Drosophila melanogaster: one gene and its partner. The protein of the gene in region 1 purifies or fractionates together with the protein of each later gene. This does not show direct contact. Each region holds a gene or a part of one and is shown on either strand. Other genes may lie near its edges. The genes, in order: Ets98B and CG33981.

The links.
Region 2: the proteins of Ets98B (region 1) and CG33981 purify together in Drosophila melanogaster (affinity purification with mass spectrometry, with the first as the bait; one large-scale study listed by BioGRID). This does not show direct contact.

Annotation. Positions count from the first base shown.
Region 1 is NT_033777.3:27,734,828-27,739,725, forward strand, and holds the start of Ets98B (Ets at 98B), read left to right. Parts: upstream 1-1,710; 5' UTR 1,711-2,264; coding exon 2,265-2,306; intron 2,307-4,898. UniProt on the Drosophila melanogaster protein: May have a role in germline development.
Region 2 is NT_033778.4:17,779,196-17,784,195, reverse strand, and holds the start of CG33981 (uncharacterized protein), read left to right. Parts: upstream 1-2,265; 5' UTR 2,266-2,414; coding exon 2,415-2,426; intron 2,427-2,708; coding exon 2,709-2,855; intron 2,856-2,916; coding exon 2,917-3,000; coding exon of another isoform or gene 3,001-3,595; intron 3,596-3,726; coding exon of another isoform or gene 3,727-5,000. Other genes in the region: fab1 kinase, read left to right, coding at 3,089-3,595, 3,727-5,000.

The DNA of each region.
Region 1 (4,898 bases):
TCAGCACGTTTCCCGGCCAATCCATCCAGCTGAGGCTGCCTGACGTGGATAATGCTGCCCCACCAGGAGCTGCCTCACCGTGGCTCTCGGCGGTTGCAGCTCACCATTAAGCACGCCGTTCCTTTGAGCCGGCTGTCCATCACGGAGCACCGCTGCCAGTGATGGGTGACCTGCCGCTCCGTACACAGGAATTAAAATCAGATACAAGAGCAGGGGGTGCTTTTAAAATAGTTCAAACTCTTTTCAGTCCATATTTTCTTTCATAGCTGATGTTAAAAGATAATAGCTAGCTAGGAACGCTTTGTTAAATATATATTTCTGCTGCATTAAGATTGCATTTCTTGAATGGTGTACTTTGTTTACAGGAGATTTTAAGTTCCATTTCCATTTATGGTCAAAGTGAATATATAAAAACATTTTCCGTGTAAGGAGCGGGAGTTTTCCAGAAGCCAAAGGCTGGTCGTTGTCCCCAGCTAAACGCGGAGGGGCCGGCATTTGGCATAATGATGGCCACCGGCGGGACTCGGGATGCCGTACTGAGCCGCCTCCTCCGCCGAGCAGCTGCGTCTGGTTTGCTGAGTGCCAATTGCTGTTGACATGCCTTTCATTTTAGGCGACAGCGCTTCCTGCTCAGCCAATTTAGCCCCGATGACCCACAATGGCGCATTTGTCAAGGTGGAATCATTTGGAGGGAGCCTGCAGGGGGGCGACATTAAATCCAGCACTCCTCGCTAATTTCTAACGTCCTTATTTTAATCCTTTCAGGCTGTGATTTGGACAAGAATAACATTTGTGGATCGAGTACAATCGCATGCTTAGCTTGTTAATCAAAACTCGAATGCCCTTTTATTTATTGCCGTAGTCTGAAAAAAACGCTATTATTATAAATCAAAAGATTCGTCATTTCATTATTTATTTCAATTTCTAATGTGTCGATAGCATACATTTTATGGGACTAAAACGAAATTTGCATTTAAATTAATTTGGCTTGGTAAAAAAATTTATTATGGTTAAAGGGTCCAAATGACAGGTTGAAATGAAAGTGATGCCAATTGTAAACAATTGCAAGCGATTTATTACATGTTTTGCTTTATGATTATTGATTATAAATAATTAATTGTGTAAGTAACTGATATGCATAGGTATATGAAAGTTGACTTTTGCAAAGGTACATGAACTGCAGGACTCTTTGAAAAAGGATTGAAGTTGGACTTCAGGCGACGTGGTCGTTCTTATGGGATGTCAAAAACTGTGAAATTGTCAATGGGCAATGAAATATAAATGCCAAATTAAATTGTATTTCGTCAGGACATTTCAGGAAATTTTCGTTGGCGACATCTTCGCGTCTTTTGCAACGGAAGCGGAAATTATAATGCCATCGACGTGCATCCAAACATTTTGACGTTTGTCTGAATGGCCCCAAAAACTCTTTTTAGGGGCGTGGCTGCGGGCCATTCAATCACGGTTGCAGTTGCAGTTGCCCCAGTTGCCTGCGTCACTTTATGCGAGCCAATAAATTTCAACTGGCTATCTAAGTATCTGGGTATGGGTATCTCGGTATCTGTACATTGATGGACCTTTGTTTGTCATCGATGTTGCGCTGATGGCTGAATGGCAAAGCTCTTGGCAAGAAAGAGGAGCTTAGCAACCAGTTTGGCGGCTCAAAAGCTCTGGGCATGAGGTAAGCAGAGCGATCGCAGCACGTACCGCTCACAGAATCGAGCGTGAAGACTTGGCGAACGGTCGACAAGCGGACCGAGCAATACATTCCAGTGCCAAACAGAGACAGCCAGAGAGACAGTGAAAGAGAAAGAGAGAGAGAGAGAGCAACAAGTTTGCCAGTGGAAATTTTAGTAACGAAATGCAGTGAATAGCCAGTGAATGCAACAAACTGGCTCAAAAGTCGAAAAAAAAAAAACAAAACAAACTCTCGAAAACAATTTAATAACCCCACTATGAACACCAAGGCCGAGGCAGTGAAACAAAACGCTGAGTGAATCTAGTTAAACATTTAAAATCAAAACCAAAACAGCAACAAGTGAAAGAGCCAGAAGGAGACGGCCACAGCGGTAGGCCGCGAGTGAGAACGAGACAGCGCACTGAATAGCAGCACCCGAGACTTTCGCATCTGACGATTCGAATTTTGCATGCCGAGAGATACAGCTACGCTAGAGCTGAAGCTGGAGCTACAGATACAGATACAGTAGCTAGAGCCTGTGAAAATATCTGCGAAATACCATAATTGTTTGTAGCGCAACTCAGAAATGGAGTACGAGAAAATGTTGTACATGCCAGCAGCCAGTGAGGTAAGACGCGATAATGTATCTCTGTATCCCTAGCTGCTTGAAAACATAGCTATAGCTATAGAACTACATACATAGCTGATAGCCGATAACCTTTCGCCCGCCATTATCATCGGGGGGCCACTTGTGTCGGAATATAGAGTATCTGTAGCTGTATCTGTCGCTTGGCAAATTATGCGCAGTTCGGTGGCAGTAAAGTTGCTTCTACGGCTTTTAATTAGCAGCGCATGGCATCTCGTGTAGGCGGCAAAAGTATCTTACGGTCTGCATCTTGCACTTGGCATCCCGCGAATGCGAATGCTGATGCGAATGCGTGTCACTGGGTGAGAGTAGCCCCAGTACCCAGTATACAGTACCCACTAAGTCAGCCAGTTACATTTTCGCATTTGTCTTTAATTACAATAACAGCAATAGCAATAGCAACAGCAATAGCAACAGCAACAGCAAAAGCGACAGCATCCAAAAGCAACTTTCAAAAGATGCTTTCATTTTGCAAGAAGTGATTCTAAATGATTGTCAACTATGGCACGACAACAAACAGTAGCACAAACGCCGAGTAAGAGCTGCCATGTCGGCCTGAACTGGCATTTCACTCGGAAAGTGCATTCCGATCCAGCAGATACTTTTTGTTGGACCTACTTAAGCTCCATTGGCTATGTACGCAAGTCTTTGACGTTTGTCGCTGCTGATGATGCTGCTGCCAGCATTGCAATAAAAGAAAATACGGAAAATGCCGTGGAAAAAAAAAACTTGTATTTACCATTTTTGATTGATTTGATGGAAATGTGTCTCCGCGCTTTTCCAATCGCTGACGCTGACACAGAAGCAAGTGGCTTGGAACAGCGCTTAGAAATGCACTGCAAGATTGCAAGATTGCCAGTCTGCCAGCAGCGGCAGCCACACTCATCTCTCATTATATTTATAGACATAATAAAATAAATACTACTGGCAACAATTATAAATGCAAGCCGCTTTCGCAGCTCAGCCACACTAAGCCGCGTCGAGACAAGACGAGTTGAGGAAAACTCGACATGACATAAATACTTCAACTTGTCAGGTTTTCTTTCCCTCAGCGCCAGGCCTTTCCATCGAGAATCCATCCATCGACAGTGGCATTTCTAAGTTCGCTCAGTCAAGGGCCATTTCCAAGCTATCCAATCCTATTCCATCCTGTCCAGAACGACTGGTTATCAATCAAACCGATTATACAATAATAATCACTTTTTGGGTGTGGCTCCCAACTTGGCCATTGTTGTGGCATATGCACTCAACGAAATTAGCTTTCCACGTTCCGAATGAAAATTCTATCAGCATTTCAGCTCTCTCATTTCACTCGTTTGTAACCGCGTCCTTTGAGACCCCGACAAATGGTAATTGTTCTTCTGCATTTTTGCATATTTTTTTTTTTGCAGTGTATTACTAAAATATTGCAGCCTGTGGTTGCGAGTCTTGTCTTGCGGCTTCAGCATTGAATCTCGCCTGGCTTTTATGCAAATTGAAATGAGTTGGCTTCGCAACGTCTTTTATACGGAATAATTGTCAGTGCGTGCAGCGCATAATGAGTGCAGAAGGGATTGGATTCGCAGGGTTTAGTGCCTAGACATAAGCGCATTCCTGCCCAGAATGTGGGTGTGGGATGGGCCAAGAGTCCAGTCTCCCAGCCTGCACTGGATGGCTCGTAAGTGCCACTTGTGCGGTGGGTGTGGGTGAGCCAGTGGGCGAGCGAGTGGGAGTGTGTCTGGATTGTCCATCAGAAGAGTGTCCAAGTAGTAATCGGGCGGGTTAATGTGCGGCATACTGAGAGGTAGAGATCTTCAGACCTGCCATCGAAGTGGGAGCTTTAATTAATTTGGTTAGCTGGTTAGTTGCTGGCTTTCCCAGGCCAGGGGACAAGACGACAAGCCGGAACATTCTGGGTCGTTACAGTTGTCAGACACTTGGCATATTAAGCAGGCTGCAAAGAATGCAGCATAATTGAAATGTTGCACCCATTTGAGATATTTATTAACCTTGCTGGCAGCCATTTATCTAGCATGAAATGTCGACAATTAAATGCAATGCAAATAGCGAAGAATGGCAAGCTGCAAGCAGAAAAGTTTTGCCCCGTCACGAAGTGGCTAAAACCAACACCAAACTGCAAACACTCACACAGACACGGTGACAAAAAGCTAGAGATACAGGGACAAAGATACAGAATAATGAGTGAAACAAACAGAAGGCAGCCAGTCGGGCGATGTAAAAATAAGCAGAAATAAGTCTTGTCTCTTTGACAGCTTAACCCACGCATCCGAGAACTGGTAGATGGTATATATGGTATATGGTAGATTGTACGTGGATGGATACCGCCGGGGGATTTGCCAGAGTATCTCTGTCTCTGTATCCATGTGTGTATGAGTGTGCCTATGCTGTGGACAGCGCACTTCAACATGGCCATAACCCCCTTGGCCCATCACCCATGGCTATATGCTATATGCTATATGGTATATCCGATCCCGAAGCGCGCGAATAAAGTGAACAATCATTAAACAAACAATTTGACTGAAGGAAAGGGTAGTGAGGAGTTCGGGGTCAGACTGACTTCGCTTGGCTCGGCTT
Region 2 (5,000 bases), on another chromosome or scaffold:
TTTTGTGTGAATAGAAAATAGAAAATAGAAAAAAAAAAATTAAGTTAGCTGCATTTTTAAGTTACCTGCATCGAGGCATTGTGCAAAGTACTCGAGGCAGCTAAGCGAATTATTCTGTATACACATATGTACGATGTAGGCACACAAAACTTGTTAAGTGCTTTTCAAAACAACAAGCCTTTCATTGATAAAAGCCATTGGATAACAAGCGAGTAATAGACGAGCATTTGTGACCAGTGAGAATGTTTCGGTGAATTGTGAACCAAAACGGTTGGGGTTTCGTCCATGTCGGATCGATCGTATATCAACTCCGTTGGTAAATTGGCAAGATGTCGGCATAGCTGACGTTGAAAAGCGATTTTGAAGAGCGCTATGCTGCATCTAGTCAGTTGTTCAATGGAACAGTCAGCGAGATCGAACAGAACAGTAGTGGAGTTTTAAGCTCCATCGTAATCTCTTTTTTTTGCAGATATATAATCATAAAATATCTGAAGGGATATTAAAACATTTATCGATTGGAATATTCGCAAAATGTGGAACAGTTTTTGCATTTTAAAAAACCGTTTTTCGAATGTTATAAGCAAAAGCAGTAAATTTACGAAGTATTTTTATTTAATAAATATCTTTTAATACAGTATAATTCGCTTAGCTGCCTCGAGTACTTTGCACAATGCCTCGATGCAGGTAACTTAAAAATGCAGCTAACTTAATTTTTTTTTTTTAAGGAAAAATAAAGAATTTATTTCTTTATAACAATGTTAAACATAAAAGGAACTGATAATTTCATTCTTAATGATAAGTAAGATCGACATATAAATTTAAGTGATGGTGAATTGATTAAAACACTTTTTAAAACTAACTTAAAAATAGTCAGTAATTTTTTTTTGCAATACAGCTGAGTTTATATGTAAATTAAACAGCTTGTCTTCCATAGAATTCAAGTTTTGCAAAAACTCATCATTATTGTTTCGCATAAAAATGGACTTTAAAGCCTTAATTGCTGCAAACCCATCCTTAAAAGTAGGACGCTCAGTATCGTCCACATCTTCATCACTATGGCTTTCTTCGTTATCGCTGGTTTTTGCATCTTGAACTAAAGAGCGCACGATTTCATCATCATCTAATTGACCATGGCAAGCCTCATCTGCATCAACATTGGCATATTCATTCCAATTAATATTCGATACAATGTCAACTTCTACGCATTGTTTGTCTTTTTCAGCAATGGTGTCTCCTTTTCTTTGACGCTTTCTTTTTAAACCTGACGCGGCCACAGCTTCATGAATTTCATTTGTTTTTTGTAAAATGCGGTTGACTGTGGATCTGTCGCATTTGAATTTGGCACAAATTTCCTTTTTGTCCACTTTGTTGGTCACTAACTCGATTATTTGAAGCTTTTCCTTTAGTGTTAGTCCAACGACACGCTTTGTTTTACCCATTTTAATAACTTTGTGTCATAAGAAACAAAAACACAAAAATCACGATCAAAGCAAAAACAAAAACGGACATGCGCAGATACTGAAACGAGTTGGCATTCTTGCCATCTTTTAGATATGCAAAAATGATTCATAGATGGCGCAGCTAACTTTGATGATATTCATTGAAATTGGCAAAAAAAAACAGCTGATATGATGCACTTAAGTTAAAAAGGCTGTTATCTGCGATGCAGCAAACGTATGAATTTTCGTACAAATTTTCTATTCACACAAAAAAATGGAAAAATAATGCAGATATCTTGCCGATGCAGCTAACTATCGATGCAGCTAAGCGAATTATACTGTAGTAATCATTTTAGTTTTTTGCAGATGTGATTCTAAATTTGAAATAGTTATCTCCATATAATATTTATGAGATATAAAAAGAATAAATATTATGTGCTGCGAAGTAGAGGCGTACGCAATCTTGTTTTTCAGACATGATCTGGAATAAAGGAGGGAAAACTCTTCTAAAAATTTTGGAATATAACAATTTGGAAAAATGGAACCATTTTTATATGTCTTCCCGATTCCACGGACAATTGAATTTAAATAAACATAGGCACTCATTATTGCTGCTTATATAAGTAGCATACCACAGAAAATACAATTATCTCACCATTAAGCTAATTGCCAAAAATAAAGTATCTGTTAGTACATATTTGTTGTTTTCATATTTTGTTGTCGTTTAAGCAATTTATTTGCATAAAACAGCAAACAAATTCAAAAAGTGCGAACATCGAGTACACATCGATTGGCACTTTCGATTACTACTATCGCCGCCATTAATCGCATACCTCCCATCTCCACACAGCTGTTTTGTTAAACAAAACAGAATTATTCGCCAATTGTTTACAAAAACACTCAAAAAGAGTCTAAGCAAACAATTGGCAAGCAAGTGAAGACTGGCTAGTCTCAGATTAAATTATTCCATAAGTGATGGACAGCCAGGTAAGTGGGCAAATCGAGCGGGACGTACCCTTGCGGCTAGTTGATGTCCGGTGGTTAGATAGTAACTACTACTACGTCGCCTGTGAGTGTGGCAAAATTATCGCTTCACAGCAATTAGTCGTACTTATCAATGCGCCCATTGTGCTAAATCTAAATATGCGAGCAATACCGTGTCTCCAATATTTAAGCACTGTCGCAGAGTGACGTAATTACGCTGCGGGGGCGTTGTCTTTTCTCTCTTTTTCAACGAGATAATAACCTGTGTTTTATTGCCTGTCGCAGGCACCGATCGATGATCTACTGCTGGACATTGTAGACAATGCTTGGCGCATGGAAGTTCTACCCTTCGACCAGATTCTAGTGCCACGCGAAAAGCTACCCGATCCAGAGGCGGACGGCGGTGATTCACACCTGACGGTCAGCGAGCAGGTGAGTACATTTGGGATTTTATTGCCATATCTGTATACTTCTATGGTCTGAACTCGAACAGGAGCAAAAGTGGACTGATCTGGCGTTGGGCTCGCTGGCACCGGACGCAGCCCTCATCGATCAACTGAACATCACCTCTATCTAACCAAGGACCGTGAGTCCACGGGCGAGTGCCACCGCCTCGCCAACCAACCTATTAGCACCACAAGCCCAACTCCTAACACCCCGACAACATGACTAGCAACAACCAAAACAATAGCTCAAGCCACCAGCACCTACACTCCCCCTCCAAACTAACCGAATTTGCCCGCAATTTCGAAGACAAGCCGGAATCGCTCTTTGGCCGAGTGGTAAACAAGATCCAGAATGTATACAACCAGAGCTACAATACCGTCAACGATATATCAAGTGGGAGCAGCAGCAGTTCCTCCACGCAGCCAGTGCAAGTGGTGGGCAAATCACAGTTCTTCAGTGACTCCCAGACTTCCACCGCTGAGATTGCCGATGTGGAAACCTCTAGCCAGAGCTCAGTTCGCCCCCAGCCACCCACCACGCTCAGCATAAGGACCAATAGTGAGACACGTGGCACAAGCACCTCCAGCAATACCGCTGCAGAGGACTCCGAAACCAGCGACCGCGTCGAAACGCTGCCGCTGCCAACCAGCGAAGCGAATCAGGGGCGCACCGTTTCTAACGTCCTCAAACACATAAGCAATATTGTGGCCACAAAAAACAATAACGTGAGTGAAAGTCATAATACCATTATCGTTTTAAAAATTTGAATGATTCACTGGAACTTTACCACAATAAAATATTTCTGTTGACTCATTTTTTTTAGCTTTATAAGACAAATTCCTACATTTCATTTCAGGATCTGCGAAACTACAAGGACACGGAGCTGCAGCGCTTTTGGATGCCCGATTCCAAGGCTAAGGAATGCTATGATTGCTCTCAAAAGTTCTCCACCTTCCGGAGGAAACACCACTGTCGATTGTGTGGCCAAATATTCTGCTCAAAGTGCTGCAACCAAGTGGTGCCTGGCATGATAATTCGCTGCGATGGCGATCTCAAAGTGTGCAACTACTGCTCCAAGATAGTGCTCACATTCCTGAAGTCCTCAAGCTCTGAGATGGGACAGGATATGCAGGAGCTGCAGCAGCACTTAAGTAACAAACTGGAAGTACAAGATAGTGGCAGCTCGCTTGCAAAACATCCCCAGATGCAAAGGGCACCCCTTCCGCGTAAGACATCAGTGGGCTATCAAGAGGAGCGATTCAGTTCGCATCCAACTTACACAACCCTTTCCATCGACGATCGCAAGAATATCCTGCAGCAGTCAAATTCATTAATTACCCTGCACGAGGAAATGCAGCGTGATCTGCCTGCTCAAAATTGTGGTCAGCGTCTGATTGAGTTTCTCAATAGTAATAATAAATCAGCAAACGAGGTGCAGGCGGTGGCCATACTGAATGCTATGCTAGCCGCTGGTTTCCTCGAGCCAATCGTACCCGATCCCGAGCAAATGGACTTCGATTCGTCGCTACACTATAAGTTCTCCAAAAGCAGCAGTTCGGATACCTCCCGAACGATGAGTCCGCAATTTGAGGCGAATCCCCATGCGGAACCACAACCTCCAAAGTCAATGGATCAATCAGCTGAAGAAAAGGAGAAGGAGCTAGAAAATGAACTGGAAAACGATCGATGCTATACCACAGCAACTTCTAAGCTTCTTGCCTCCTATTGCGAACACGAAGAGCAGCTACTGGCACAGATGTTGCGCGCACATAATTTGGACCAGGAATGGGACAAGGTGCTTCAGATGCTTTGTTCCACGGCAGCGAATCACTTCAAGCCAGAGCATTGTAGTAACGATCTCATGGACATACGTAACTATGTAAACTTTAAAAAGGTGCCGGGTGGCAGACGCAAGGACTCGAAGATTGTTCATGGAGTGGCATTCTCTAAAAATGTCGCCCATAAAGATATGGCAACTCATGTGCCCTTTCCTCGCATACTGCTGCTGCAGTGTCCCATTGTGTACGAGCGTATTGAGGGAAAGTTTGTGACCATTGAGACCGTGCTGCTCCAGGAAAAGGAATACCTTCGAAACGTTTGCGCCCGCATTATGAGCTTCAAGCCCAACGT